Linked DNA regions of Oryctolagus cuniculus. The protein of the gene in region 1 interacts with the protein of each later gene in a biochemical or structural test. Links are inferred from orthologs where the notes say so. Each region holds a gene or a part of one and is shown in the gene's direction. Other genes may lie near its edges. The genes, in order: CBX5, CHAF1A, TRIM28 and LBR.

What was found.
Region 2: the proteins of CBX5 (region 1) and CHAF1A form a complex in vitro, tested with the Homo sapiens proteins (2 studies listed by BioGRID). The link is inferred for Oryctolagus cuniculus from reciprocal best matches to the Homo sapiens genes CBX5 and CHAF1A.
Region 3: the proteins of CBX5 (region 1) and TRIM28 form a complex in vitro, tested with the Homo sapiens proteins (6 studies listed by BioGRID, with this or other methods). The link is inferred for Oryctolagus cuniculus from reciprocal best matches to the Homo sapiens genes CBX5 and TRIM28.
Region 4: the proteins of CBX5 (region 1) and LBR form a complex in vitro, tested with the Homo sapiens proteins (2 studies listed by BioGRID, with this or other methods). The link is inferred for Oryctolagus cuniculus from reciprocal best matches to the Homo sapiens genes CBX5 and LBR.

What each region holds. Positions count from the first base shown.
Region 1 is NC_091442.1:57,188,336-57,195,119, reverse strand, and holds part of CBX5 (chromobox protein homolog 5), read left to right. Parts: intron 1-5,107; coding exon 5,108-5,294; intron 5,295-6,784. UniProt on the Homo sapiens protein: Component of heterochromatin that recognizes and binds histone H3 tails methylated at 'Lys-9' (H3K9me), leading to epigenetic repression. In contrast, it is excluded from chromatin when 'Tyr-41' of histone H3 is phosphorylated (H3Y41ph).
Region 2 is NC_091447.1:59,793,415-59,800,198, forward strand, and holds part of CHAF1A (chromatin assembly factor 1 subunit A), read left to right. Parts: intron 1-785; coding exon 786-846; intron 847-984; coding exon 985-1,053; intron 1,054-2,689; coding exon 2,690-2,916; intron 2,917-2,993; coding exon 2,994-3,147; intron 3,148-3,232; coding exon 3,233-3,313; intron 3,314-4,391; coding exon 4,392-4,484; intron 4,485-4,605; coding exon 4,606-4,864; intron 4,865-5,598; coding exon 5,599-6,062; intron 6,063-6,784. UniProt on the Homo sapiens protein: Acts as a component of the histone chaperone complex chromatin assembly factor 1 (CAF-1), which assembles histone octamers onto DNA during replication and repair.
Region 3 is NC_091449.1:97,040-104,302, reverse strand, and holds the start of TRIM28 (transcription intermediary factor 1-beta), read left to right. Parts: upstream 1-2,542; 5' UTR 2,543-2,945; coding exon 2,946-3,288; intron 3,289-3,530; coding exon 3,531-3,643; intron 3,644-3,857; coding exon 3,858-3,990; intron 3,991-5,104; coding exon 5,105-5,240; intron 5,241-5,313; coding exon 5,314-5,430; intron 5,431-5,503; coding exon 5,504-5,618; intron 5,619-5,737; coding exon 5,738-5,884; intron 5,885-5,980; coding exon 5,981-6,095; intron 6,096-6,170; coding exon 6,171-6,277; intron 6,278-6,370; coding exon 6,371-6,407; intron 6,408-6,494; coding exon 6,495-6,540; intron 6,541-6,616; coding exon 6,617-6,869; intron 6,870-6,956; coding exon 6,957-7,263. UniProt on the Homo sapiens protein: Nuclear corepressor for KRAB domain-containing zinc finger proteins (KRAB-ZFPs).
Region 4 is NC_091444.1:40,006,496-40,013,904, forward strand, and holds the start of LBR (delta(14)-sterol reductase LBR), read left to right. Parts: upstream 1-2,381; 5' UTR 2,382-2,537; intron 2,538-6,423; 5' UTR 6,424-6,437; coding exon 6,438-6,602; intron 6,603-7,409. UniProt on the Homo sapiens protein: Catalyzes the reduction of the C14-unsaturated bond of lanosterol, as part of the metabolic pathway leading to cholesterol biosynthesis.

The sequences.
Region 1 (6,784 bases):
CTGTGCCACTTCTGATCCAGCTCCCTGCTAATGTACTGGGAAAGCAGTGGAAGATGGCCCTCCAAGGTGCCTGGGCCCCTGCACCTGTGTGAAAGATCCAGAAGGAATTCCTGGCTTCAGTCTGTCTGGTCCAGCCCTGGCTGTTGCAGCCATTTGGGAAGTGAACCCCCAGATGGAAATTCTCTCTCTGTCTTTTCCTCTCTGTAACTCTGCCTATCAAATAAATTAAAATCTTTAAAATAAAAAAAAGATTTCACAGAACTCCAATGAACTGATAGGAATTGGTTTCGGTGCTGTCCAATAGAAGTACAAATCATAATTTTAAATTTTCTAGTGGTCACATTAAATGTGGAATTAATTTTATTTATTTATTTATTAGATTTATTTTTATTTATTTGAAAGAGTTACAGAGGTGGACAGCAAGAGAGATTTTTCCATCTGTTAGTTCACTCCTCAAATGGCTGCAATGGCCAGGGCTGGGCCAGGCTGAAGCCAGGAGCCAGGAGCTTCCTGGTTTCCCACGTGTCTTCTGTTGCTTTCCCAGGCGCATTAGCAGGGAGTTGGATCGGAAGTAGACGAGCTGGGACTTGAACCTGCACCCATATGGGGTGCCAACACTGCAGGTGGAGGATTATTCTTCTATGCCATAGTCCTGACCCTATTTTAAAGATTGATTTATTCGTTTGAAAGGCAGAGTTAACAGAGAGAGAGCTTCCATCCACTGGTTCACCATCCAAATTGCCCCAGTCCTTGCTGGATCACACAGAAGCCAGGAGTCTGTCCATCCAGGTCTCCTATGTGGGTGATAGGACTCAAGCATTTGGGCCGTCTTGTCTGCTTTACCAGGAGCATTCGCAGGAAACGGATCAGAAGCAGAGCAGCTGGGACTCAAGCCATGCTTGATATGAAATGCCAGCGTTACAGGTGTCTGTTTAACGTGCTGGGCCACAATGCTGGCCCCTGAAATTCATTTTTTTTTTAAGATTTATTTTATTTGAAAGGCAGTTACAGAGAGGCAGAGGCAGAGAGAGGTCTGCCATCTGTTGGGAGCTGACCCTATCCAAAGTCAGGAGCCAGGAGCTTCTTCTGGGTCTCCCACGCAGGTGCAGGGGCCGAAGGATTTTCATATTAATGTTCAAGTAGTATTTTTTGATCTATTAATTAAATATATCATTAAAATGAATTTCAGGGGGCCAGCGCTAATGTGTAGCGGGTAAAGCCACTGCCTTCAGTACCAGCATTCCATGTGGACACTGGTTTGAGTTCTGGTTGCTCCACTTCCAATCCAGCTCTCTGCTATGGCCTGGGAAAGCAGTAGAGGTTGGCCCAAGTGCTTGGGCCCTTGCATCCACATGCAAACACCTGGAAGAGGCTCCTGGCTCCTTGCTTTGGATTGACGCAGCTCCCACCATTTCAACCAATTGGGGAGTGAACCAGCAGATGGAAGACCTCTCTCTCTCTACCTCTTCTTCTCTCTTTGTGTAACTCTGACTTTCAAATAAATAAATAAATATTAAAAAAAAATAATAAAGGTAGGATCTATGTGTACTACAAACGTCAATGTTTTGCCTTTACTTTTGGATAAAGATGTGAGTCGGGAGCCTTTGGAACATGCTGCAGGTTATTTCAGTACCCAGGTTCAGATTTCTCATCTGGAGCTTGTTGGTGTTTTAGGTGGGACAATTCATGCGTCGTGAGATACTTCGCATTCTCCCAGCCCCAATGTGGCACTTGCGGCACAGCAGTCAGAAGATGCTGTCCGCATTTCTCAGGAGGATTGCTGTCATCCTTTCCCCAGATACGAGAACCCTTGAGCTTGAGAGACCCAGAGCACTGGGAGATAGGAACTCAAGTAGCCACCTCAAGACGTTGAGGGGATCTGGTGGGCCCATTGACTCACCGCTAGAAATACTCAGATGTTTGAAAGGTCCTTGAAACTGTCTCCTTGCCATTGAGGTGCTCTGGTACCCCATGATAGGTCAGAGAGGGAAGGATCTGTGGTAGACAGATGGAGCATTTGTCATGATTTCGTGATTGCCCTGGGTTCATGAAAGACTGGGCCAGATTTTGCTCCGCCTCAGCCTTGTCTGCAAGTGGACACCCTCCACACAATGCTCCCTTATCTGCTGCAAGCTAAGGTGGGTGCCTGAGACCGTGCCTGGTACTGATCCCTGAGTACCTGTTTGTCCTGTGCATACATACCTGTGATAACGTTTAATTTATAAATTAGCCCAAGTAAGGATTAACCACTAATAACTAATGGTAGAATACAACAGCTATTATACTATAATGAAAGTTCTACGAATGTAGTCTCTCAAAATATCTTTTTTTTTTTTTTTGAAGATTGATTTATTTCTTTGAAAGAGTTAAGAGAGAGAGAGAGACAGAGAGAGAAAGCTCTTGCATCTGCTGGTTCACTCCCAGATGCCCGCAATAGCCAGGGCTGGGCCAGGCCAAAGCCAGGAGCGAGGAGCTTTCTGCAGGTCTCCCACATGGGTGCAGGGGCCCAAGGACTTGGTCCATCTTCCACTGCTTTCCCAGGCCACAGCAGAGAGCTGGATCAGAAGTGGAGCAGCCGGGACATGAACCAGTACCCACATGGGCTGCTGGCATCAGAGGTGGTGGCTTTCCCTGCCGTGCCACAATGCCAGCCCCAGAACTCTTACTTTGTGATGATGTGGGCACTGTGACACGGTGTTAGGCTGCTGCAGAAGGGTCACTGAATGCGAGCATTGCAGTTTTCAGTCTGTCTGACTGGGGCTACTTCCAAGGGACTAATGGGCAGGGGGATGAGGGAAGGCTGGATGAAGGAACGGCTGACGTTCCAGCCCAGGCGGAGCCAGGCCGTGCAAGATTTCATCACACTACTCAGAAGGGTGTGCATGTTAGAACTTAGAAGTTGCTTATTTCTGGGATTTCCCTTTAATATTTTCAGACCACAGTAGCTGAGAGCACAAAAGTGGGACCTCAGATTGGGGGAGGGGGATGGCTACAGGATGTGCTGGTCAGTGGTCAGATTCTGCCGCTTTACAGAGGAGGAAATGAGCTGAATTATTTATTGAAGATAATGTAACATGAAGATGGTGGAACAGTCATCCAAGATCCAGTGTCTTTGGCCCTAAAACCTAAGCTCTTAATTATACTATACTGTATTTGGGGTGAAAAGTAGTTGAAGTAGAAACAGCAGTATCAAAATGGTGGGAAAAGGATAACCCCTGTTTAGGACTGCTGTCTTCCCATCAGCAGGGATTCTTCCCCACCCCCTGCCCCCAGGCCTACTTGCCGTGTTAGAATAGGGCCCCTTTCTTGACTTGGTGCGTTAATTTCTTCTGGGATTGTAAACTGTACAATTTGAGAGCTTAGGGGAAAGTTACTGTGTGGGGAAATATAAAGGAGATGTTCTTCCAGTATTAGCTCAGATGATTTAGAAATTAATTTTGTCTGAATCTGGCACTCTTGGCAGGAAGTTGTTTAGGTCTAAAGTAAATAGCTGAGATTTTCTCATCGTTCTTCTCCCTGGTTGAGTCAGATTATTTGGCTGGTGTGTGTTAAAAACTATTCCCATCTAAAGACTCCTTATGTAGGGGCTGTCGTAAGTCACAGCACACCGGCATCCCATGTGGATGCCGGTTCCTGTCCCAGCTGCTCCACTTCCCATCCTGCTCACTGCTGATGTGCCTGGGAAAGCAGTGGGGGATGGCCCAAGTGCTTGGTCCTCTGCCATCCATGGTGCAAGACCCAGATGGAGTTCAGGCTCCTGGCTTTGGCTTGGCCCAGCTATTGAGGCCACTTTGGAAGTACACCAACAGATGGAAGTTCTCTCAATATGTAATTCTGCTTTTGAAATTGAAGATCTTTAAGACAAAAAGATTCCTTGCTTAAATTTAAAAGATAAAAATAATAAAACATCTTATTAGATATGATTAGAGCATAAGGTTAAAGAGTTATCCCCAAGTCAATCAGGGATTTACAGAAACTATAATATATTTATAGATGTGTCTTAGTAGAAATAAGTCCTTAAAATACAGCTCGAAGAACCTTGGTTGCCGCTGACTAAGGGGAAAGGTGATACCTGGTCCAGTTTTTCCCATGTGGGTACATTTCTTGGTTTGACTTCATAAACTCATAGTGTGGTTAGTTTTGGTTTAAAATCTATGCTGGGAATATAAAGGAGAATTTTGAGAATACCAGTTATTCTCAAAACAGCACTCCCTTGAACCAGAGTTAGTTAGATGTGATTGCTCAGCTTTGTTAATGTAACAATACATGTTGACCACTAGCTGATTACAGACTTGAGTCCAGAGCACTTGGATTCGTGTACTCCACGTCGGCTTCTTCGTCATCTTTTGGTTCGCCGTTATTGTAATGATTTAAGACCATACTGCCTTCTAAATAACTGGTTACAATCCTCTAACACTCACTGGCATTTTTTCAAAATATGAGTACCCCTGGAGACAGTGGACAGTGAGGGTGCGCGAGGTATCAGGCTGTCCTCTCTTTAGCTGTTGCACAGATGATAATGTGTGGGAACCACTCCATGAGCGAAAGTTGGTTTTTTTTAATGGCTTTACTGAAATATAATGTATTCACTGTAAAATTCGTCCATGGAAACTATAGTTCTGTGATTTTCCATACCTTTTTAGAGCTGTGCAGCCGCCTCCACACTCCACTTGCAGAGCGTTTCTGAGGCCATGGCCCTAGGCAACCACCAATCTGCTTTCTGTCTCTCAATTGGTCTCTCCTAGGCTTTTCATATATATACTCTCTTGGGCCTGGTTTCTTTGACTCAGCATGTTTTTGAAGTTCTTCCAAGTTGTGGCATGTATTATATTAGTATTTTGTTTTTTGGTGTTGTTGTTGAATAGTATTCCATTATATGGATATACCACATTTCGTTTATCCACTCACCGGTTGAATTGTTTTCTGGTTTTGACTGTTAAATACTGCTGTAAACAATTGTGTCCGGGTGTCCATGTGGACATATTTTCTTCATTGCTCTCGTGTAGAAATTTAGGATAGGGTGTCTGTCCTTTGTGCTACATGGCCTCTCTGAAGGTATTGGATTTTTTATGCCCTTGTTTTCTTTTTCCCCGTCTTTCTTGCCCAGGGAGCATAATACTTGGGAACCTGAGAAAAACTTGGATTGCCCTGAGCTAATTTCTGAGTTTATGAAAAAGTACAAGAAGATGAAGGAGGGTGAGAACAACAAACCCAGGGAGAAGTCAGAAAGCACCAAGAGGAAATCCAATTTCTCCAACAGCGCTGATGATATCAAGTCCAAAAAAAAGAGAGAGGTAAGCTTCCTTTCCTTTTTTCTTCACAAACTGTTATTTTGCTGCGAGAAGGGGAGAGGGAGGGAGGGAGGGAGAGAGAGAGAAAACCACCCTATTTCTATTCGAACCGTGGACTATGACCCACAAGCTAAATTGTTGAATTGCTGAACAAAAGAGCTTCCAGGAGGTGTGTTGGTTAGCCACAGTGCCCCCTCCTGGCTGAGTGAGAAACACAATTTGTGACTACTGAATAGTTTTAAGGTGGGAAAATCACATCTAAGTAAAACTTAAAACCACTCTCTGCCCTCTCCATAAACAGATGTCTTAGTTATCTTAGGAGGATCTTTGGTGAATTTTGGAAGAATGGAAAAGAGCTTTGAAATGTCTGCCATTTTTTTTCTTTTCTTTCAAGAATGGCACTCACTTTCAACCCTTTATACTCTCGTTCTTAATGGAGGTGAGAGAAACATAATATGCAACTAACCATTGTAAAGGATACAGTTCAGTGGCATTTATATTCTCTCCTGATCATATTATTTCTACATAATCTGAATAAGAAATTAATTTTCAGGGAGCTAGTGTTATGGCACAGTGGGTTAAACTGTCAGCCTATGATGCTGACATCCTCTATGGGTGCTGGTTGAAGTCCTGGCTGCTTCACTTCCAATGCAGCTCCCTGCTAATTCACCTGGGAAAGTGGAGGAAGATGGCCAAAGTTTTTGGACCCCTTCACCCACATGGGAGGCCTGGATGGATTTTTGGGCTCCTGTCTTCAGCCTGGCCCAGTCTCAGCTGTTTTGGCCATTTGGGAAGTGAACCAGAGGATGGAAGATCTCTTTTGCTATCTCGTTCTCTCTCACTCTGCCTTTCAAACAAATAAGTAAAATTTTAAAAAAGAAATTAATTTTCCCCTTCATTTGGAACCATTATTATTTACTGTGGGAAGAGTTAGGAAATTTTAGTTTGATCATTTGCTTGACTCCTTCTGCTCTGTAGCTCTCAGGCAACCAGCACAAGCATTGCTACTGTCTTTTTTTTTTTTTTTTAATAAGTTTTTAAAAAATGTTTTATTTTGTTTATTTGAAGGACAGACAGAGATCTTCCATCTGCTAATTCACTTCCCAAATGCCCTCAATTGCTACGGCTAGGCCTGGCTGAAGCCAAGAGCTGGAAACGCAATGTAGGTCTCCCTCATAAGGTGGCAGGGACCCAATTACTTGAGCTATTACCTGCTGCCTTCTGGGCTGCACAGTAGCAGGAAAGTGGAGTCGGGAGCAGAACTGCCTCTTGAACCTGGGCACTCGATATGGGCTGTGGGTGTCCCGGGCGGCAGTCTTCACGGCTGTGCCAGTGCCCACCCATCTGTTTTATTCATCTCCCTCTTTTCCATCTGTGGGTGTACTTGCAAACACACAGTGAACCCCCCAGCTTTCATTCCTTTCATGTCAAGGTTATAAAGCCTTTTGTGGTGAAGGATATATCACACACTTAGAGTTGAGTAAAGTAAGAGC
Region 2 (6,784 bases), on another chromosome or scaffold:
GGGGGCGCTGGAGGGGATGCGGGAGCCGGGCGGGAGGGGGCGCTGGAGTGAGTGCGGGAACCGGACTGGAGTGAGTGCGGGAGCCGGACGGGAGGGGGCGCTGGAGTGAGGGCGGGAGCCGGGCTGGAGGGGGCGCTGGAGGGGGTGCGGGAGCCGGGCGGGGGGGGGGCGCTGGAGTGAGGGCGGGAGCCGGGCGGGAGGGGGCGCTGGAGTGAGGGCGGGAGCCGGGCTGGAGGGGGCGCTGGAGGGGGTGCGGGAGCTGGGCAGGAGGGGGCACTGGAGGGAGTGCGGAGCCGGTCAGGAGGGGGCGGGCGCTGGAGTGAGTGCGGGAGCTGGGCGGGAGGGGGCGCTGAAGGGAGTGCGGAGCCGGGCGGGAGGGGGCGCTGGAGGGAGTGCGGGAGGGGGGCGCTGGAGTAAGGGCTGGAGGGGGTGCGGGAGCTGGGGGGGGGGTGTTTGGGCCCCTGCACCCACGTGGAGACCTGGGTGAGGCTCCTGGCTTCGGCCTGGCCCAGCCACTTTGGGAGCGAACCAGTGGGTCCCCTCTTTAACTCTGACTTCCAAATAAATAAACAGATCTTGGGGGGGGGGGTACACTGCTTCCTGTACGGCAGCAGTGAGGAGCCGCATGAGGCCGAGGCCAGGGCCCTGCTGTGTGGGTGCAGGCCCGGCCGCGTGAAGCCAGGGCCTGGCTGTGGTGGCGCCAGGCCCTGCTGTGTGGGTGCAGGCCCGGCTGTGGTGGCGCCAGGCCCGGCCGTGTGGGGCCTGAACTGGGTTGCCTCTCACAGGGCCAAGCTGGAGGAGAAGAGGAAAAAGGAAGAGGAGAAACGGTTACGAGAAGAGGAGAAGGTAGAGGGGTGGGTTCTGTCGGGGCTGGCCCGGCCTGTGCCCGCCGGCTCGGGTCCTTTGGGGCCGGCGCTCGGTTCCTGCCGCGGCCCCGGGGTTGCCCCGCGCTCGGCTTCCCCTCACGGCTTCTCCCCTCGGCAGCGCATCAAAGCGGAGAAGGCGGAGATCACCAGGTTCTTCCAGAAACCAAAGACACCCCAGGCGCCCAAGGTGAGCGGGCGGTGGGCGGGCGGGCGGCGGGGCTTCCTAAGTGACAGCTGGAGGCACGGGTCCCTCGCTTTGTCCCCGGAGTGGCCTGCTGGGAGGAACGGGGGCCCTGGAGAGACTTGTGCTGAGACGGGCAGAGGCCGCCACACGCACCCGGAGCCTGGGCATCCTGGCCCCGGGGCCGCCGTCCCCCCAGGCCCTCCCAGAGCCCCTGTGCTGCCCTTTGGGGGCTCTGAACTGCTGCTTGCCACTGGCAGCCTGGTCCTGGGACCCTCCCACGCCGGCACCCGCAGCTCTGGGTCAGCCTTGCCTGGTTTTAACTGTCACAGCCTGGCTGTCCCAGGAGTGGGAGACAGTGGCTTTCTGCGTAGGTTTGTTTCTTTGCAAAGTAGAGCGACAGAGAAAGATCTCGCCTCTGCTGGTTCATTCCACCAGTGGCCGCCAACAGCCAGGGCTGGGCCAGGCCCAGCCGAAGCCGGAGCCGGGAGCTCCATCCGGGTCTCCCGGGGGGTGCAGGGGCCAAGCACCTGGGCCGTCCTCCACTGCCCTCCCAGGCCACAGCAGGGAGCTGGATGGGAAGTGGAGCAGCCGGGACTCGAACCCGCGCTCCTGTGAGGCGCTCGCTCTCCGCACCCGTCCCCGGGGCCCCTGGAGGAGAGCGCCCGCCCGCTGCCGCCGCACCGGAGCTTTTCTGTGGAGAGATGGCGGCCTGTGTGTGGCCTGGCTCGTCCTTGGCGGCCCACGGAGGCTGCTCTCTGGCGCTCTCCTCCGCGTCAGCGTCGCTCGCTGGTCCCTTCGCGGCCTCTGGGTGGGCGACCGATCTCCTCCCCAGTGTTCCGGCCTCTGCTCCTGGTGTGCGCCCTCAGCGCCTGCTTGGCCGATCCTCTGCGTGGGGCGTGGGGTGTGGCACCCGTGTGCCCAGCGCCCGTCCCCGAGCCCCGGCTGTGTGCTGGGGTCGCCAGGGAGCAGCTAGAGACCCCGGGGGCTGGCTCCCAGCCCACACCCCCAAGGCCTTGGGTGCTGTTCACTCAGCCTGGCGGCATGGCCGGCCGAGCGGTCGCCTGGGCCACCAGCCCCCTGCCAACGCGCCTGGGAAGGCGGCTGAAGATGGGCCGCGTGCTGGGGCCTGCACCCGCGTGGAGACCCGGATGGATTCCCGGCTCCTGGTTTGGGCCTGGCGCAGCCCTGGCCATGGCGGCCATTTGGGGAGTGAACCAGCGGATGGAAGGACCCCCCCCCCCCGTAACTCTGACTTTTTAGATAAATAAATGAATCTTTAAGAAAAACAACACTTACTTCCTCCCATCTGATGGTGCCCTCCCCAGCTGCCTACAACATTGAGGGCGGGGCCAGGCCAAAGCCAGGAGCGCGGATTCGGTCCAGGTCTCCCGCTGCCTTCGCGGGTGCTGGACTCGGCTGGGGTTCACAGCCAAGCGCTCGAGCGTGGGCCGCAGCTGTGCTAACGGCTAGGCCGGACGCCCGCCCGTCCCGGCGTGGCCCGCCATGACCCGGGCTGCTCGTCGTCCCCGCGGGCGAGGCCGCTGACGGTCTGCCTGTGCCAGGGGCGGCCGTGTGTTTAGTGGCCTGGGAGCAGCCGCGGCCGGCGCCCCGTGTCCCAGCGGGCCCTCGTCTGTTGCAGACCCTGGCCGGCTCCTGCGGGAAGTTCGCGCCCTTTGAGATCAAGGAGCACATGGTGCTGGCGCCGCAGAGCCGCGCCGCCTTCGGCCAGGACCTGTGCCGGCGGCTGGACCAGCTCCTGCGGCAGCAGGACGGCGACTTCTCCTTCCTGAAGGACCTCAAGAGCCGGCGGCCCCTGCGCTCCGGCCCCACGCGGCTCTGCGGCCCGAGCGCCGAGCTGTTCAACAGGTGAGGGCGCGGCCCGCGGGCCCCGGGCCGGCCTCCTGCCCCCGGCGCCGGCCTCAGCGGGGCTCTGCCTCCCTCAGTGACGTGGTGATCGTGGGCGGCGTCCCGGAGCGGAGGAAGTTCGGCCGCATGAAACTCCTGCAGTTCTCCGAGAACCACCGGCCGGCCTACTGGGGCACGTGGAACAAGAAGACGACGGTCATCCGCCCGCGGGACCCCTGGGCCCGGGACTGGGTGAGCCCCGCGCTCCGGACCCCGCCGCGCCCGGGGGGCCTGGCGTCCCCGAAGCCGGCCGACGCCCTGCGCGTGTCCCTTTCAGACGCTGCTGGACTACGAGGTGGACAGCGACGAGGAGTGGGAGGAGGAGGAGCCCGGGGAGTCGCTGTCCCACAGCGAGGGGGTAAGGACCGGCCGGGATGGGACAGGCCGCCGGCTGCTGCCAGGGCCGCGGCTCCGCCTGCCTGCTCGCCAGCCCCGCCCCGCCCACGCCAGCCCCGCCCACGGCCGCAGCCCCACCCCGCCGCTCCCTAGCTCTGCCAGCCCCGCCCATGGCCGCAGCTCCACCTGCCTGCTCGCCAGCCCCACCCGGGCTCACTGGCTCTGCCAGCCCCGCCCACGTCAACCCCGCCCACGGCCGAGGCTCCACCCTGCCCTGCTCCGCCCACACCAGCCCCGCCCACAGCCGCGGCTCCGCCTGCCTGCTCGCCAGCCCCACCCGGGCTCACTGGCTCTGCCAGCCCCGCCCACGTCAACCCCGCCCACGGCCGAGGCTCCACCCTGCCCTGCTCCGCCCACACCAGCCCCGCCCACAGCCGCGGCTCCGCCTGCCTGCTCGCCAGCCCCGCCCTGCTCACGCCAGCCCCGCCCATGGCTGCAGCCCCCCCCCCGCCGCTCACTGGCTCTGCCAGCCCCGCCCCACCAACCCCTCCCACTACCGCGGCTCCGCCCCTTCCACGTCTGCCCCCTTCCACTACCGCGGCTCCGCCTGCCTGCTTGCCAGCCCCACCCCACCCACGCCAGCCCCGCCCACAGCCGCGGCTCCGCCCTGCCCCGCCCCACCCACGCCAACACCGCCCTGCCGGCCCCGCCCACGGCCGCAGCCCCACCCCGCCGCTCGCTAGCTCTGCCAGCCCCGCCCATGGCCGCAGCTCCGCCTGCCTGCTCGCCAGCCCCGCCCCGCCCACGCCAGCCCCACCCACAGCTGCGGCTCCGCCTGGCTGCTAACAGGCTCCCGCCACACCCCGCCCACGCCAGCCCCGCCCACGGCTCCGCCCCGTCCTGCCCACGGCTGCAGCCCCACCCCGCCGCTCACTGGCTCTGCCAGCCCCGCCCCACCAACCCCTCCCACTACCGCGGCTCCGCCTGCCTGCTTCGCCAGCCCCACCCCGGCTCACTGGCTCTGCCAGCCCCGCCCCGCCCACGCCAGCCCAGCCCACGGCCCTGCTCCCCCGCGTGACGAGCTTGCTTTTCTCCCTGAGGATGAGGACGACGACGTGGGAGAGGACGAGGACGAGGACGACGGGTTCTTCGTGCCCCACGGGTACCTGTCTGAAGACGAGGGCGTGACGGAGGTGAGGGCCGGGGAGCCAGGGCTCGGCTTCCCGCGCCTCGGGCTCCGTGCAGCGGGGTCCAGCCGCGCGCGGAGGATCCGGCCCACGCGGGGCCCTGACCGACGCGCGCTCTCCCCCGCAGGAGTGCACGGACCCCGAGAACCACAAGGTGCGGCAGAAGCTGAAGGCCAAGGAGTGGGACGAGTTCCTGGCCAAGGGCAAGCGCTTCCGCGTGCTGCAGCCCGTGAAGGTCGGCTGCGTGTGGGCGTCCGCGGTGGGCAGCTGCGCGGGCGCCGACCTCCGGGTGCTGCAGCAGTTCTCGGCCTGCTTCCTGGACACGGCGCCCGCGGACGACGAGCAGGCGCCCAAGGCCTCCAAGAGGGAGAAGCGGGACCAGCAGAGTGAGTGGGGGCGGGGGGGCGGGGGGAGTGAGGGGCCTGGGGGGCGGGGTGAGTGGGGGGCCCGGGGGGCTGTAGCATCAGGGCCTCCCGCACCCCTGCGGGGTTCCTGCCCTGGCCGGGGGGTGTTCGGGGTGAACCGGCAGGTGCACAAGATCCCCCTCTACCTCACAGAGAGACAGGGGGCCTGCCGGGAGCCCGAGTGCCCTGGGGCTCGGGAGCGGGTGGGGCCCGCGTCCCGCTCACCGTGTCCCGCTCACCGTGCCCCGCCCCCACTCACCGCGTCCCGCTCACCGCGCCCCCCCCCCCCGCTCACCGCGCCCCCCCCACCATGTCCCCGCTCACCGCGGTCCCACTCACTGCGCCCCCGCTCACCCTGTCCCTCCCCCCAGTCCTGGCCCAGCTGGGCCCCGCTCACCGCGACCCCCTCCCCCCCCAGTCCTGGCCCAGCCGCGCCCCGCCCCCCGCTCACGGCTCGCCCCTCCCCCCAGTCCTGGCCCAGCCCCGCCCCGCCCCGCTCACGGCTCGCCCCTCCCCCAGTCCTGGCCCAGCCCCGCCCCGCTCACGGCTCGCCCCTCCCCCAGTCCTGGCCCCGCCCCGCCCCGCCCCCCAGTCCTGGCCCAGCCCCTCCCCGCTCACGGCTCGCCCCTCCCCCAGTCCTGGCCCCGCCCCGCCCCCGGCTCGTCCCGCCCCCCCAGTCCTGGCCCCGCCCCGCTCACGGCTCGCCCCTCCCCCAGTCCTGGCGCAGCTGCTGCCGCTGCTGCACGGCAACGTGCACGGGAGCAAGGTCATCATCCGCGAGTTCCAGGAGCGCTGCCGCCGCGGGCTGCTGGGCCGGGACGCCGGCCGCCCCCCGAGCCCGGGCCGCCCGCAGCCGCCCGCGGCCGCCGAGGACGCGGCCGTGCCCTCCAAGGCCCGGCTCAAGCGGCTCATCTCGGAGAACTCGGTGTACGAGAAGCGGCCCGACTTCCGCATGTGCTGGTACGTGCACCCGCGGGTGCTGCAGCGCTTCGACCAGGAGCACCTGCCGGTGCCCTGCCGCTGGAGCTACGTCACCGCGGCGCCCGCGGCCCCCGGAGAGGACGGCGGCCCCGCCCCCGCCGCGCCGCCCGCCCCGGCCGCGCCCGGCTCCCTGAAGAGGAAGTCGGCGGGCAGCATGTGCATCACCCAGTTCATGAAGAAGCGGCGGCACGACGGGCAGGTGGGTGGGCGCACACGGGGAGCCCCGGGCCTGCGCGTGCCTGCGTGCGGGGGTGGGCGCGCGGCTCGGCCCCTGCTCCGCGCACGGGGAGCCCCGGGCCTGCGCGTGCCTGCGTGCCGCGGGTGGGCGCGCGGCTCCGCCCCTGCTCCGCGCACGGGGAGCCCCGGGCCTGCGCGTGCCTGCGTGCCGCGGGTGGGCGCGCGGCTCCGCCCCTGCTCCGCGCACGGGGAGCCCCGGGCCTGCGGGCGGCCTGCGTGCCGCGGGTGGGCGCGCGGCTCCGCCCCTGCTCCGCGCACGGGGAGCCCCGGGCCTGCGCGTGCCTGCGTGTCGCGGGTGGGCGCGCGGCTCCGCCCCTGCTCCGCGCACGGGGAGCCCCGGGCTTGCGCGTGCCTGCGTGCCGGGGGTGGGCGCGCGGCTCCGCCCCTGCTCCGCGCACGGGGAGCCCGGGCCTGCGCGTGCCTGCGTGCCGGGGGTGGGCTCGCGGCTCCGCCCCTGCTCCGCACACGGGGAGCCCCGGGCCTGCGCGTGCCTGTGTGCGGGGGTGGGCGTGGGCTTGGGCAGGTCGCGGAGCCATGGCGCGTCATTGGGCTCCCGTGGCAGGCCGGCCCCGGGGCGTCCCAGGGCTCCGTCTCGGCGTTCATCAGGCCCGGGGGTGTGCCCGCACCTGCTGGGTCCCATGGACGGCCACGGACAGCCCACTGCCTGGTGCCCGGGGTCCCGGC
Region 3 (7,263 bases), on another chromosome or scaffold:
CTGGGGTGGGAGGTGCCGTGCCTGGTTCCCCCTTTCGCCGCCCGGCTCGCCACCTTTGTGCGCTCCCGGGAGACGGCAGGGGGTGTCCACTTCTGGACGCGCCAGCCCTCGCGGCCTTCCGCCCCGTCTCAGTGGTCTGGGAACCGAGACCTCGGGATCGGAAGGCCACGGAACAGCGTGTTGGGCTCGTGCCCAGCTGTCGAGTTTTCTGTCTTGAGGGGGCGGATTCCGCTCTCCTTCCCAGCTCCTACCTCCCCTCCCCCAGACCCTGCTTCCTCCCCTCAGGATTCTTCCTCCCCCCCAACATCCCGCTTCCCCCTCAGGAATCCTCCCCCGATTCTAACCCCCTCAGACTAGACCCTCCGCAGACAGGATTCCTCCCCCCACACCCTGCTTCCCTCCTCACACAGGACCCCCTCAGGAATTCTCCCCCCACACCCTGCTTCCCTCCTCACACAGGACCCCCTCAGACCTGCTTCCCCCTCAGGAATTCTCCCCCCACACCCTGCTTCCCTCCTCACACAGGAACCCCCCCCCCCCACACACACACAGGATTCCTCCTCTGACAGGATTCATCTCAGACAGGATTGATTCCTCCTCCGACAGGACCCTCCTCAGGATTCCTCCGCAGACAGGATTCCTCCCCCGACACCCTGCTTCCCTCCTCACACAGGACCCCCTCAGGAATTCTCCCCCCACACCCTGCTTCCCTCCTCACACAGGACCCCCTCAGGAATTCTCCCCCCACACCCTGCTTCCCTCCTCACACAGGACCCCCTCAGACCTGCTTCCCCCTCAGGAATTCTCCCCCCACACCCTGCTTCCCTCCTCACACAGGACCCCCTCAGGAATTCTCCCCCCACACCCTGCTTCCCTCCTCACACAGGACCCCCTCAGACCTGCTTCCCCCTCAGGAATTCTCCCCCCACACCCTGCTTCCCTCCTCACACAGGAACACCCCCCCCCCCACAGGATTCCTCCTCTGACAGGATTCATCTCAGACAGGATTGATTCCTCCTCCGACAGGACCCTCCTCAGGATTCCTCTGCAGACAGGATTCCTCCCCCCACACCCTGCTTCCCTCCTCACACAGGACCCCCTCAGGAATTCTCCCCCCACACCCTGCTTCCATCCTCACACAGGACCCCCTCAGGAATTCTCCCCCCACACCCTGCTTCCATCCTCACACAGGACCCCCTCAGGAATTCTCCCCCCACACCCTGCTTCCCCCTCAGACAGGGCTCTCCTCAGACAGGATTCCTCCCCCTAGACCCTGCTTCAGGACCCCCCCCCCCAGACAGGACCCCCTCTGACAGGATTCATCTCAGACAGGATTGATTCCTCCTCCGACAGGACCCTCCTCAGGATTCCTCTGCAGACAGGATTCCTCCCCCCACACCCTGCTTCCCTCCTCAGACAAGACCCCCCCCCCCCAGACAGGATTCACCTGACAGGATTGATTCCTCCTCCGACAGGACCCTCCTCAGGATCCCTCCCCCCACACCCCCCACATCCTCCTCAGACAGGACCCCCCCCCCCCGACAGGATTCACCTGACAGGATTGATTCCTCCTCCGACAGGACCCTCCTCAGAATCCCTGCCCCGATTCTGCTTCCCCCCTCAGACAGGACCCCCCCCTCGATTCTGCTTCCCCCCTCAGACAGGAGCCCCCCCCGATTCTGCTTCCCCCCTCAGACAGGATCCCTCCCCCGATTCTGCTTCCCCCCTCAGACAGGACCCCCCCCTCGATTCTGCTTCCCCCCTCAGACAGGACCCCCCCCCGATTCTGCTTCCCCCCTCAGACAGGAGCCCCCCCCCCCGATTCTGCTTCCCCCCTCAGACAGGATCCCTCCCCCGATTCTGCTTCCCCCCTCAGACAGGAGCCCCCCCCCCCGATTCTGCTTCCCCCCTCAGACAGGATTCCTGCCGGCTCCCCGCCAGTCTCTCGGGATTCTTCCCAGACCCTGTCTCTCTCTGAGGATTCCGCACTTCTCAGATTCAGTTCGCCCACCTGGGACAGCTTGGAGTCAGGGCAGCGGCAGGGCAAAACACGGGAGGCTAAGCGAGATTTTATGGACTGGGGGCTTTGCAGCTTGCAATTTAAGCAAGTTTTGTTTCTCAAGTTTAACAATAAAACGTTAAAAACCCCGGAGTAAGGCTCCGCGCGCAAACCGCAGCTTTCACGTTGCTCAAGTGACGCCCCTTCGCCCCTCCCCGGGCTCAGCCTTCCCCTAGCCTTGGCCCTGCCCACTCCATCACACCCCGTCCCCTCTCCGGGTCAGCGGGTGCCGCAGCGGCCGAAGACAACCGCACGCCGGGAGAGGGGCGGGGACTGAGGCGGAGGTCGCCCCGCACCGGCTCCAGGGCGTTCCGGAGGCGGAGTCCGGGGCGGGGGGCGGGGCGGGTCACGTTTGTAGGACTCGAGGCCACGCCCCACGGCGAATCAGGGCTCGACTGTGACGTCACAGAGCCCTGCCCCTCACCTCACTAGCCGGCCGAGGTGAGGTTGGCGGTGGTGGGAGGGCCCGGCGCGGGCGCGTGCGTACTCCTGGCCTCGCCCGCGGCGACCGGCCAGGTCCCGCCCCCGGGCGTGCGGCTCCGAACGCGCGTGCGCGGCGGCGTCGGCGCCAGTTATTTCTGTCCCGCCCCCAGGCCGCGGCTCTTTCTGAGAGCGGGCGCGCGGGCAGGCGGTTGTTCGCGTGGCGCGTGGCTCGGGTCGCGGCGGCGGCTGGTTTAAGCGCGGGTGCTGCAGCGGGAAGGCGAGGAAGCAGCAGCCCGCAGTGCCTCGGTATCGCCCCGCGCGCGGCGGGCAGCGGCCCAGGAGACGCGTGGCAGCGCTTGGTCTCGCGGCGGCGGCGGCCCAGCCGTTGGCGGCGAGCGCGTCTGCGCCTGCGCGGCGGGCCCCGCGCCCCTCCTCCCCCCTGGGCGCCCCCGGCGGCGTGTGAATGGCGGCTTCGGCGGCGGCGGCGGCGGCGGCCTCGGCGGCGGCGGCCTCGGCCGCGTCGGGCAGCCCAGGCGCGGGCGAGAGTTCGGCGGGCGGCGAGAAGCGCGCCACCGCCTCTTCGGCCTCGGCGTCAGCTTCGGCCTCGGCCTCGTCGCCCGCGGGGGGCGGCGGGGAGGCGCTGGAGCTGCTGGAGCACTGCGGCGTCTGCCGGGAGCGCCTGCGGCCGGAGAGGGAACCACGCCTGCTGCCCTGCCTGCACTCGGCCTGCAGCGCCTGCCTCGGGCCCGCAGCGCCCGGCGCCGCCAACAGCTCTGGAGATGGCGGCGCGGCGGGCGACGGCGCCGGTGAGTACGTAGTGGCTGGGGGCGCCCCTCCCCCTCCCCGCCGCCCTTTATCCCGACTCTGGGAGATGAGGGGGACCGCCAGGCCCCGGATAGGGCTTGAGGAATGGGTTCTGGGCCCTCCGTGGAAGACCCATTGTGGGTTTCGCGGAGGCTTAGCTTGGAGAGAATAACGCACAGGGAGGGAAGGATGAGCGCAACCTGGATGTGGGCCGGCGGTGGTCTCACGTCCCGTCTCCCAACAGTGGTGGACTGTCCTGTGTGCAAGCAGCAGTGCTTCTCCAAAGACATCGTGGAGAATTACTTTATGCGCGATAGCGGCAGCAAGGCTGCCTCCGACGCCCAAGATGCAAACCAGGTACGTCCTGTCCCAGCCCAGTAGGTTTCTGGCCATGGGGAGGGGGCAGAGCCGTGGAGGAGCCTGGACCAACTCTAGGCATTATCCTCGACATTTCTCAAGGCTCTGGGGTGGGTCGAGGTATCCACATGAACGTGGGTTTGTATTTTCTGCGTTGCAAATGCAGATCTGTCAGGCTTTATTGGATTGGTCTGACCCTACCTTTTCCTGACAGTGCTGCACTAGCTGTGAGGATAATGCCCCAGCCACCAGCTATTGCGTGGAGTGTTCCGAGCCACTGTGTGAGACATGCGTGGAGGCACACCAGCGGGTGAAGTACACCAAGGACCACACCGTGCGCTCCACTGGTGCGTGAGGCGGCGCTGCCTTCCTATGTGTGCTTTCAGCTGCTTGTAGTGCTGATTCCGTTTGGTGGGCAGGTCTTAAGATGGTTTTCTGAGTTGCAAACACCAGGACTCCAAAGCATGGATGCTGGGGAGAGTTAAGGCCGCAGGCTGGGAAGTCACATGCTGTAGTTGTACAGAGGGTTTGAGGACTTCTCAGGGAAATGCAGTGGGGGGCATGAGTCCCAGTAGTGGAGACTTCAGGGTACATAGACAGGGAAAGGTAAGGGAGAGGGGTGCTATGAATTTGGGGCTCTGGCACCTGGCTTGAGAGTGTTGGGAAAAGGGAGGCTTCCAGGATAGGGCAGCATGATAAGCTGCTCTGGGCCCTTGGGCTGTCAGTGCTGGTGAGACCTGTAAATGTTCTAGCTGTGAATACGCAGTTTAGACTTCCTGAACGTTTTCTGGGTATCTGTTGGCTTTGATATGGAAAGGAGCTTGAGAATCTCCTGAATCTGGCCAAGGTTTTGGCCCAGAACCCTCCCATGAGGAATATTTTGGTGGTGGTACTAAGGTTCCTTCAAGCCCAGAGAATAGCACTTCAGGAAGATGGGGCGTAGAGGTGCTGGCTTTAGGGCCTGAGAAAGCAGGCGGGATGGGGTGGGGTCTGCAGGGATTCTAGATTCCGGAGGTTCTAGGCTAAGGTTAGGGTGAGGGAATGGGCGCATGTCAGTTGGGGAAGCCAATTTCTGGCTGAGCCGTGTTCCGATGTGAGACATCTTGTCTTTTTGATTAGCTCTGGGGAGGAAAGGGACCCACGTGCCTGTTGAGGTTTATTAGCGACAGGGAGCTGAGTGGGGCGGGTGGTTTGTGTGTGTCGCTGGAACATGCCTGTCTGTAAAAGTTCCCATGAGAGGGAACAGTGGTGGGGATGGAATTCCCACTTTGAAGTTAGAATAACATCTTCATCTTTGCCTGATTGGGGCAGAGGGTTCTGGGAGCAAGGACCCGGGGCTCTCGAGGTGCTACCAGTACATGGCCTAGGGTCCCAGGACAGGTGGGAAGTGAGGCCTCAAGCTCTGACTGCTACCTGAGGTGCTCAAGAGCAAGGTCCAGCCTCCTGGTTTCTACTCTGCAGGGCCGGCTAAGTCTCGGGATGGTGAGCGTACTGTCTATTGCAATGTGCACAAGCATGAGCCCCTCGTGCTGTTCTGTGAGAGCTGCGACACTCTGACTTGTCGGGACTGCCAACTCAACGCTCACAAGGACCACCAGTGAGTCCCAGGGCACAGTAGGGGGTGCTCCCCTTCCCCAGGTTCAGCACCCAACCTCTCTGGTTGTTCTCAGGTACCAGTTCCTGGAGGATGCAGTGAGGAACCAGCGCAAGCTCCTGGCCTCATTGGTGAAGCGCCTTGGGGACAAACATGCAACGTTGCAGAAGAGCACCAAGGAGGTTCGCAGCTCGTAAGTGTGGGTGCCAAGACTGAGGGGTTCTCTCGGCGAGACCCTGCCTGCCCTGACCTGCCTTTTCTCCTAGGATCCGCCAGGTGTCTGATGTACAGAAGCGTGTGCAGGTGGATGTCAAAATGGCCATCTTGCAGATCATGAAGGAGCTGAACAAGCGGGGCCGTGTGTTGGTCAACGACGCCCAGGTAATCCTCGTGTGGGTGGGAGGGTCCTTGGGTAGCCGCTGCTGGCTGCTGGTGCCATGCAGAGTGGGCAGGGATCCCAGTGTCTGTCTTACTGCCCTGCTGACCTTTTCCATCTGCAGAAGGTGACTGAGGGTCAGCAGGAGCGTCTGGAGCGTCAGCACTGGACCATGACTAAGATCCAGAAGCACCAGGAGCACATCCTGCGCTTTGCCTCTTGGGCTCTGGAGAGTGACAACAACACAGCCCTGTTGCTCTCTAAGAAGCTGGTATGTGTTGGTGGGTTCACAGGTGGGAACCCCAACACCCTCTAGCCCTGTTCATTTCCCATGTTGCTTCATGCCCCTTCCCGCTTGCCCCACCAGATCTACTTCCAGTTGCACCGGGCCCTCAAGATGATTGTGGATCCCGTGGAGCCACATGGCGAGATGAAGTTTCAGTGGGACCTCAATGCCTGGACCAAGAGTGCTGAGGCCTTTGGTGGGTCCCCGTTTTTTGTCCCTGTTCTACTTTGTCGCCACCCTAATGGTACACCTACATAGTCTCTTCTTGCAGGCAAGATCGTGGCAGAGCGTCCTGGTACCAACTCTACAGGCCCTGCACCCATGGCACCTCCGAGGGCCCCAGGGCCCCTGAGCAAGCAGGGCTCTGGCAGTAGCCAGGTGAGCGGGGGAATGGACCCAGGGAGGGGAAGTGCACGGAGTCGCATGCTGTACCTGCCCCACTGAGGTCCCCATGCTCTGTTCTGTGTACAGCCCATGGAGGTGCAGGAAAGCTATGGCTTTGGGTCAGGTGAGTGAGTCTGCCTGGTGGGTGGGAGAGCCCAGTGCCCTGGCTACACATCAGCCGTTCATCCGTCTTTTTCCATCTCTTGAGCAGATGATCCCTACTCAAGTGCGGAGCCTCATGTGTCAGGTGTGAAGCGGTGAGTGTGAGTTCTCTGTGGTGGTAGATGGGAAAGAATGAGAGTAAAGGGAGCTCACGCCAGTATGCACTTACAGGTCCCGCTCAGGTGAGGGTGAGGTGAGCGGCCTCATGCGCAAGGTGCCACGGGTCAGCCTAGAACGTCTGGACCTGGACCTCACAGCTGATAGCCAGCCGCCTGTCTTCAAGGTGTTTCCAGGCAGCACCACTGAGGACTATAATCTCATCGTTATTGAACGTGGTGCTGCTGCTGCAGCAGCTGGGCAGCCTGGGACTGCACCTCCAGGAACTCCTGGTGCACCACCACTCCCTGGCATGGCTATTGTCAAGGTGAGTGTGTCCCCAAGGGCTGTGGCTGGAGGATGATACCTGTCACCCTCGTGTCTGTACCTTACGGAACATTTGACCACTTTGCAGGAGGAGGAAACAGAGGCTGCTATTGGAGCACCTCCTGCTGCCACTGAGGGCCCGGAGACCAAGCCTGTGCTGATGGCTCTGGCAGAAGGCCCTGGCACTGAGGGCCCCCGCCTGGCCTCACCCAGTGGCAGCACCAGCTCAGGCTTGGAGGTGGTGGCTCCTGAGGGCACCTCAGCCCCATCTGGTGGCCCGGGCACCCTGGATGATAGTGCTACCATCTGCCGTGTCTGCCAGAAGCCAGGTGACCTGGTCATGTGCAACCAGTGCGAGTTTTGCTTCCATCTGGATTGCCACCTGCCTGCCCTGC
Region 4 (7,409 bases), on another chromosome or scaffold:
AGTTGCTCCTCTTCTGGTCCAGCTCTCTGCCATAGCCTGGGAAAACAGTGGAAGGTGGCCCAAGTGCTTGGGCCCCTGCACTCCTGTGGGAGACCAGGAAGAAACTCCTGGCTCCTGATTGGCCCAGCTCTGGCCATTGTAGCTGTTTGGGGAGTGAACCAGCAGATGGAAGACCTTTCTGTCTCACCCTCTCCCTGTAACTCTGCCTTTCAAATAAAACTAAATAAATCTTTAAAAAACATCTTCAGTAATCTGCAAGGTATAACGTTAACTAAGCTGACTTTAGTAATTTACAATCTTATGACTTTTTAAAAAAGATTTTATTTATTTATTTGAGAGAGAGAGGGAGACAAAGGTTCTTCCACCTGCTGGTTCACTCCCCAAATGGCCGCAGTCACTGGAGCTGTGCTGATCTGAAGCCAGGAGCCAGGAGCTTCTTCCAGGTCTCCCATGCAGGTGCAGGGGCCCAAGGACTTGGACCATCTTCCACTGCCTACCTGGGCCATCAGCAGAGAGCTGGATCGGAAATGACATTTGAAGGACAGCAGCATCTCTTAGGTCTCGATATGGTATCTGTGCTGGGTCCCTGTGGACCTGGTGTAGCACTTTGATTTGTGAAGCTCTACGAAGTGGTGTTAATGTTACCTTACCTTTGGGGTTGAAGCAACTGAGACTTAGGGGTTTGCCAAAACTCCCAAGGGTTTTCTGACCTGGAAGTGTAATGTCCATTTCTGTAAACAAATTCTGTCACCGTGATGGCAATTTGATGTCAGGGCCTGTTCTTAGTGAAGTGGGAGAGGTGGGACTGAATTTTATTCCAGGTCCTTGCCTTCTTGCACTTGGAGAAGCATTCTAAGTACAGGCACATATACAGGGTGCAAAGTAGTGAGTTTACTTAAAAGTGAGACAGCAGGGGCCGGTGCTGTGGCATGGCCGGTAAAGCCACGGCCTGCGATGCTGGCATCCCATATGGGTGCTGGCTCAAGTCCTGGCCACTCCACTGCCAATCCAGCTCCCTACTAATACTCCTGGGAAAGCAGAAGAAGACGGTTCCAATGCTGGGGCCCGGGAAGAAGTTTCTGGCTTTGGGCTAGCCCATCTCCAGCAGGTGTGGCCATTTGGGGAGTGAACCAATGGAAGTGTCTGTCTCCCTCTGTAACTCTGCCTTTCAAATGAATTCATAAATGCCTTTTAAATCAAAGGTGGGACAGCGCACACACACCTGGGCATAGTTGAGGCATGGCGTAGGCCAGAGGTAGACAAGGCGTAGGGAAGCGGAGGTGGAGAGAAGGGCACCTTCGGCAGCAGCTCCAGTCGGGGGTCTCTGACGAAGGAAGACCCGCCCAGTTGCCCGCCTCTTTCATAGGGTTGGAAGGGGCGCGGCTGCAGGCGTCGCCCATCCCAGGGCCCCGGGGAAGAGACATTCCTCCCCGAGGGGGCTACTTGATGGACACGCGGGTAGGGTTACAGGAGGGGCGAGGAGGCTTCTGGTTTCCAGCTCCGGCCTTCATCTCGTTCTCGTATTTCCTGGCTGGGGGGTGGGGGGGACTTCGATGAGCTCATTCACACCGAACGCGAGTGACTGAGGCGGCCCAACGTATCCGCCTGCTTTCTTCAGTGTTTTGTAACTGTGTTAGGCTAGAACAAGCCTACTCGCGCTTCCGAAGCAGAAATCCACTTAGGTGTCCTTGGTAAGTGGGTTGAGAAAGACTCTGATTAAAACCACACTGCAAAACAGGGAAGCCCGACCGGCCTGTTTTAAACTCTCGACCTCAAAAGGAAGGAAGCCAGCCATGCAATGATGATAGACTGCAGGGGGCACAGGGGCTGGGAACCAGGGGGGGTCCCTTACAGCCAGGCTTGCGGGCCTTTCCGCCTCTGGCCCCGCGTCGTGGCGGGCTTGCCCTTCCCACGGCAGCGTCGTGCGGGCGCCAGCTGCCCCCGGACGCCTCAGGAGCCGCGGCATCGTAGCTCGCGCTAAGAATGGCCCCCATTCCATTTTAACCAGAAGCACCTTCGGCTCAGAACCTTCGTTATCACCATACGAATTTATTATTTTCTTCCAAGCTTTTTTTTTTTTAATCTCTTCTGCCAAGCCACCTTGGACCCCCAATTATCCCCTGCGAAAAGCCAGGAGGGTAAAGGCGAGGAGCGCGCGGTCCGTGGGTTGCGAGGGCGCCTGGGCGGCCGAGATAAGGCCGGGCCAAACATGCCCGCGAGCTGCACCAGGCGCCGACCCGCCCGCTCGGATGCCCCGGCGTCCCCGGGCTCCGGAGCCGAGCCGCGGGGCGGGGCGGAGCGGACGCGCCACGGCGCGCCGCCAATCGACGGCGCCAGGAACGATTCAAAACGCCGAGGGGCCAATGGGAGCTCTGGGCGGCCCCCAGGGGCGGGACCGGGTGCGCGCGCGCCCGGGCCTCGGGACCGCGGGGCGCGAGAGCGCGGCGGGCAGCGTCGCGCGCGCGGAACCGCCGCGGAGGTGCTGCTGCGCGACTCTTCCCTGCCGCAGTGTGAGTTCCCGCCGGAGCCCGGCGCAGGTGAGCCCCCGGCCCCGCCCGGCGCCCGCCCTCCGCTCCCCGCTCCCCGCGGCGCGGCCTCCGAGGGGCGGCCAGGGGTGGGGGGAGGCAGGGGCGGGCGCCGCGTGGGGGCCGGGGTCCTCGGGCGCAGGGCCTGGCGCGGCGGCCTCGCCTTCGCTGCTTTCCCCTCCCGCTCCGCCTGCTCGCTGGGCGGTCGGCGGCTGCGGAAGTGGAGCGGCGGGTTTTGAACCGCGGACGTTTCCCTCCATGTTGGAGGCGCGCGGTGGCGCGGCGCGGGGTGGGCGGGCGGCGGTGGGCGCCTTTGTCCCGTGGTCGAGCGCCGCTGACAGATCGGCGGCGCGGGGCTGCTGTGGGAGTCGGCTTTGTGGTGCCTGGCCCCGGCGGTCTCAGAACGCGGACGTTTTGGGTCGGCTTGCTCTCTCCTGCTGCGGCGCGATCCTGTTTCTTTTCTTTCTTTTTCTTTTTTTTTTTTTTTCCCAGCCTTTTAAGGTTAAAACGATCCTCCCGCCCCGAAGTGACAGCTTGCCTCGCGCTTCCCGCAGCCTCAAGGGGCACTTAGTGAGCACTTGATCGCGCGGGGCCTTGTTCCAGGCGCTCTGGCTGAGCGCCGCGCTGTCCGGCGATGCTTGGAAAGGGACACAATGGACACGCTCAGGGCCGGGTGTGGGCGGCCCGGGGCTTCGGCCCGCCGCGGGTGTGCGTTTCCCGCTGCCGCCCCCCGGGCGGACGCCGGCGGGCCGGGGTTGCACCCTGGGGATTGCTCCGAGGGGAGGCTGGGGTCCAGGGAGGAGGGGGAGGGGGGCTTGCTTTGGCCCTGGCCAAATTTCAGGACAAGTTTAGCTTCCGAGAGCCTTCTGGGGAGTGGGAAGAGTAGAAGGCCGCTGTGCCTGTACGGCCGGCCGGGAAGGCGGCATTTGGGTGCAGCGGGAGGGAGCGAGGCCAGGGCTTGTGCGTCGTGCTGGTCGGCGCAGGTGTTGCAGGCACCTTCACCTGAGTTGTTTCTGTCACATTCAGACCAGTTGGTAAAAGTGAAGGGAATGTCCGGAAGACCGGGTAACAGTCGTCGGCAGGGAAAGGCATCAGAGGATTGTAACACTGATAAATAGTAACACGCTGGCGCCTCTTGAGACGGAAGAGTCAGCAAGCCTCCGGCTAAAGAGAGGGGAGGCTGCGGCTCCAGGAGCTTCTGCTCCTGATGACCGAGGTCAGGAAACGGGTTTTCCTTCGGAGCACCCGGCTAATGTCCTTGCCCAGAGAAGCCAATCTTCGTCAGTCTCACTCCCTCTGGCCTAATGACATGCGCAGGTGTCTGGGGCCCTGCGTCCTACCCTGGCCCTGCAGGAGATTATGTTAGGATGCAGTTGCACCATATCCGCCCATCTGGCAGTTGTGTGTGGATCTTGTGCAAAGTGGAGGAGTCCGCGTGTTGCTGGCTTCGTCTTTGGGAACATTTGTATGTGAGACAGTGGTCTCCCAAGCAGAGTGCTGGTTTCTTTTGTTTTGTCGTCTTTTTCTATTCTTTTTCTGTCTCTTGTGTCTCTTGTGTGTCTCTCTCTCCCTTCCTTCCTTTTTTCTTTTCTTTTTTTTTTTTTTTTAAGATTTATTTATTTGAAGGGCAGTTACAGAGAGGCAGAGGCAGAGAGAAAGGTCTTCCATCCATTGGTTCACTCCCCAAAGGGCCACAACGGCCAGAGCTGGGCTGATCTGAAGCCAGGAGCTTCTTCTGCATGCCGGTGCAGGGGCCCAAGGACTTGGGCCGTCTTCCACTCACTGCTTTCCCAGGCCTTAGCGGAGACCTGGATCAGAAATGGAGTAGCATGGACTCAAACTGGTGCCCATGCCCATGTGGGATGCTGGCACTGCAGGCAGCGGCTCTACCCGCTGTGCTGAAGCGCAGGCCCCTGGTTTCTTTTTTGCGTCTGTCAGGAAAGATCACTATCAGGTCCCAACTCTTAAGTAAATCTTTTTTAAAACTAAGCTTTGGGACGTAGCATGCATCCACCAGATGGCTTACTTTGACTCAAACCATTTTACTTAATGGGTAACAGAAAAATCTTTTTGGCCTTGACCTGTGTTCAGTATTGCACAGTACTATGAGTGCACTGTGTCATAGGTGCAAGGCAAAGATGTCCAAAAAATGACATTTTTTGTAAAGGTCCAGAAAGAATCTGCTCACGGGCCTTTACAGGTAGCCCTGAAGTCTTCATTGTAGGAACTGCCTTCTTCAAACCCCGGTTGAGCAGTGTAGAACTAGCACTTAGGACGGTGGATTGACTTTGGGGAGCCCAGGGGGAGGAGGGGGCACACGAGAAGAGAGAAGTAGGGCACATTTCCTTCCTCTTTCTTCGTACTTGGGGCTTGAGGCTCAGTGTTGAAACAGGCAAAGCTTGCTCTTGTCACCTTCCCTTTCTGTGCGCCTCCTGCCTGTCCAGAGCTGGCCGCTGCTCAGGTGCCCGCCCCTAGGGTGACTCCCTGGCCGGGCCTGACTTCATACCTCGAGCCTACACCCATTCATTACCCACTGATGCTATCTCAGGTGTTGGGAAGAAAGCAGGCTCTTACCTAATGTGTAACTGGCTGACATCTTTGAATCGCCAGATAAGCACTTGTGTTTTCTGTAATCTACTGCTGTCTATCTAGAAGCTATGTGAACGAGTGAAGCTTGGGCAGGTTTTTCTCAGGTGATTAACAGCGGGGAGGTGTGCTCAGGAAAGACTTTCCCAGGAGGCCCAGGTCGGGCAGCCTTCTCGCAGTGGTCTGAGGGCTCGGGCTGTGACAGGAATGTGCATCCCTGTGTCGCCTTGCTGGCCAGCTGCAAGTGACTTAGCGTGCCCCCATGGGTCTTGCTGTCTGCCTCTTGGAGCAGAGCGGGCCCCCGCCGGCTGGTTCATGGTGTTGGAGGGTCGGAGGCGCTGGTGGTGGACCTGCTGCTCAGCAGAGGGAGCAGCGTGACCACCAGGAGCTGGAGGCACCAGCAGTCACCTGACATTTCAGGTGGGGGACAGGCCTCGTGGAAGTGACACTGCTCGCAGATTTGTTGGTGGCTTCTTGGAGTGTTGTAGATCCCAGGCTTCGTGGGCCAGGCTTTGATTCAGTGGAAAAGAATGTTGTAATTGGGGGGTCGGTGTCTGCCACAGGCTTGAGAGAGGGGAACTTGGATGACGGCCAGGTGCGTGCTGCTCTGCGTGGGTGGTTGGCAGAGTTACTCGGTAGACGTTTGGGCTTTGGCTCCAAAAATCAAAAGCTTATAACGCCCACATTTGCTATTCATTCTAATTTTAGAATTATTTTTCTTGTTGATGGGTTATTGGCATATTAGCTGCACGTTTTTGGTTTTCCTAGTCTGTTTTCAATAAAGGCAATTTATTAAAATGTAATTGAAAACATTTTAAAAACTTTTGTAAAACAATATGCAAATACACAGTCAGCAAATGTGTCTTGTGCGAGACTGTGCTCTTTTTTTTTTTTTTTTTTTTTTGCTCTGACTTTCGATTAGCAGGAAATACGGTGACTGTAGGTGGGTAGCATTTTGCATTAGAGCAACTATTTGATGCCTGCATACATTGTCATAACTAATCCTTAGTGTCGCATGTGTCACACTGGCTAAATCAGCCTTATGTAGTGATTCCACATGGGATACAATGTGGCAGAAAGGACACCTTCTGTGTGGTGGTACCTGCTGTTTCCTGCCATTTACATTGTTAAACTTCAGTTTTCTCATCTTTAAGGAGTTGTACCCCTTTCCTCTAGAAACGCTTCTGGCCCTGCACTTTGACCATTTATTAAGAAAATCTGGAAAGCTGTAGCTTCGAGATCAGCCTATGGAAAAAAATATAAATATAACTGTGCACATATTGACTCAATTTTTTTCTTTAAAATTGTTCAGGCTAATTTTAGAAAATGCCAAGTAGGAAGTTTGCGGATGGTGAAGTGGTAAGAGGTCGGTGGCCCGGGAGTTCGCTTTATTACGAAGTAGAGATTTTGAGTCATGACAGCAAATCTCAGCTCTACACCGTAAAATACAAGGATGGAACTGAGCTGGAATTGAAGGAGAGTGACATCAAGGTAAGCGCTCCTCTGGCTTCCCGGAGAGTGTTTACAGTGAGTGCGGTTTCTAAGGCAGGGTGGTGAGTTCTGGCTCTGGGTCGAGTTCCTGCTGTGGGTCACATGCTGTTCTGGGCTCTGGGGATGCATGAAGAAGGCACAGAGCCTCGATCCCCAGCAGCTCAGTTTACTGGGGAAAGTAGACCTTTACGGTGGGCTGCATGTATGCTGCGGGTGGGACCGAGCACATCAAGAGTAGGGAATGGCCCCGGTGTCGGGGAAGCTGAAGCCTGGACCAGGTGCTGAGGACAGACTGGAATGACGAAGTTGATGTTGCTGGAAGGGTGTGATGGTCGGGCCGGCCGAGGGATAAACAGGGCTGCGTGGGAAGGATTTTTTATCTTTCATGTCCAGGGGTTTGGGCTTAACTGAGAGTGCCATTAAATAGCTTTGAGTCCAGCCCATGGCTTTTCAGCCCATCTAGTGAGGGCCTGATGGATGGTATACAAATACTTTACAAAAATGAATTAGTAGAAAAATCAAAAGACATCCTGAGTAAAAGCCACACATTTTTATTGTAAGATTCAACAGACACTAAGTTGGGTTGTCAAAGTGCTATGACAGTTCTGTCCGCCTGTTAGCAATCCTGGCGCTCACTGCCGAGCAGTAACCAGCAGCTCTTGGATCCTACTTTGCTCTAGACCAGGGTCTGGCAAAGGACAAGTTGTAAACAGTGTTGGCTGGGCCAGGCCATGTGTTTTCTGTAGTGCAGGAGCAGCTTCAGGCAATATGGAAGGGAATGGACATGGCTGTGTTCCAATAAAACTT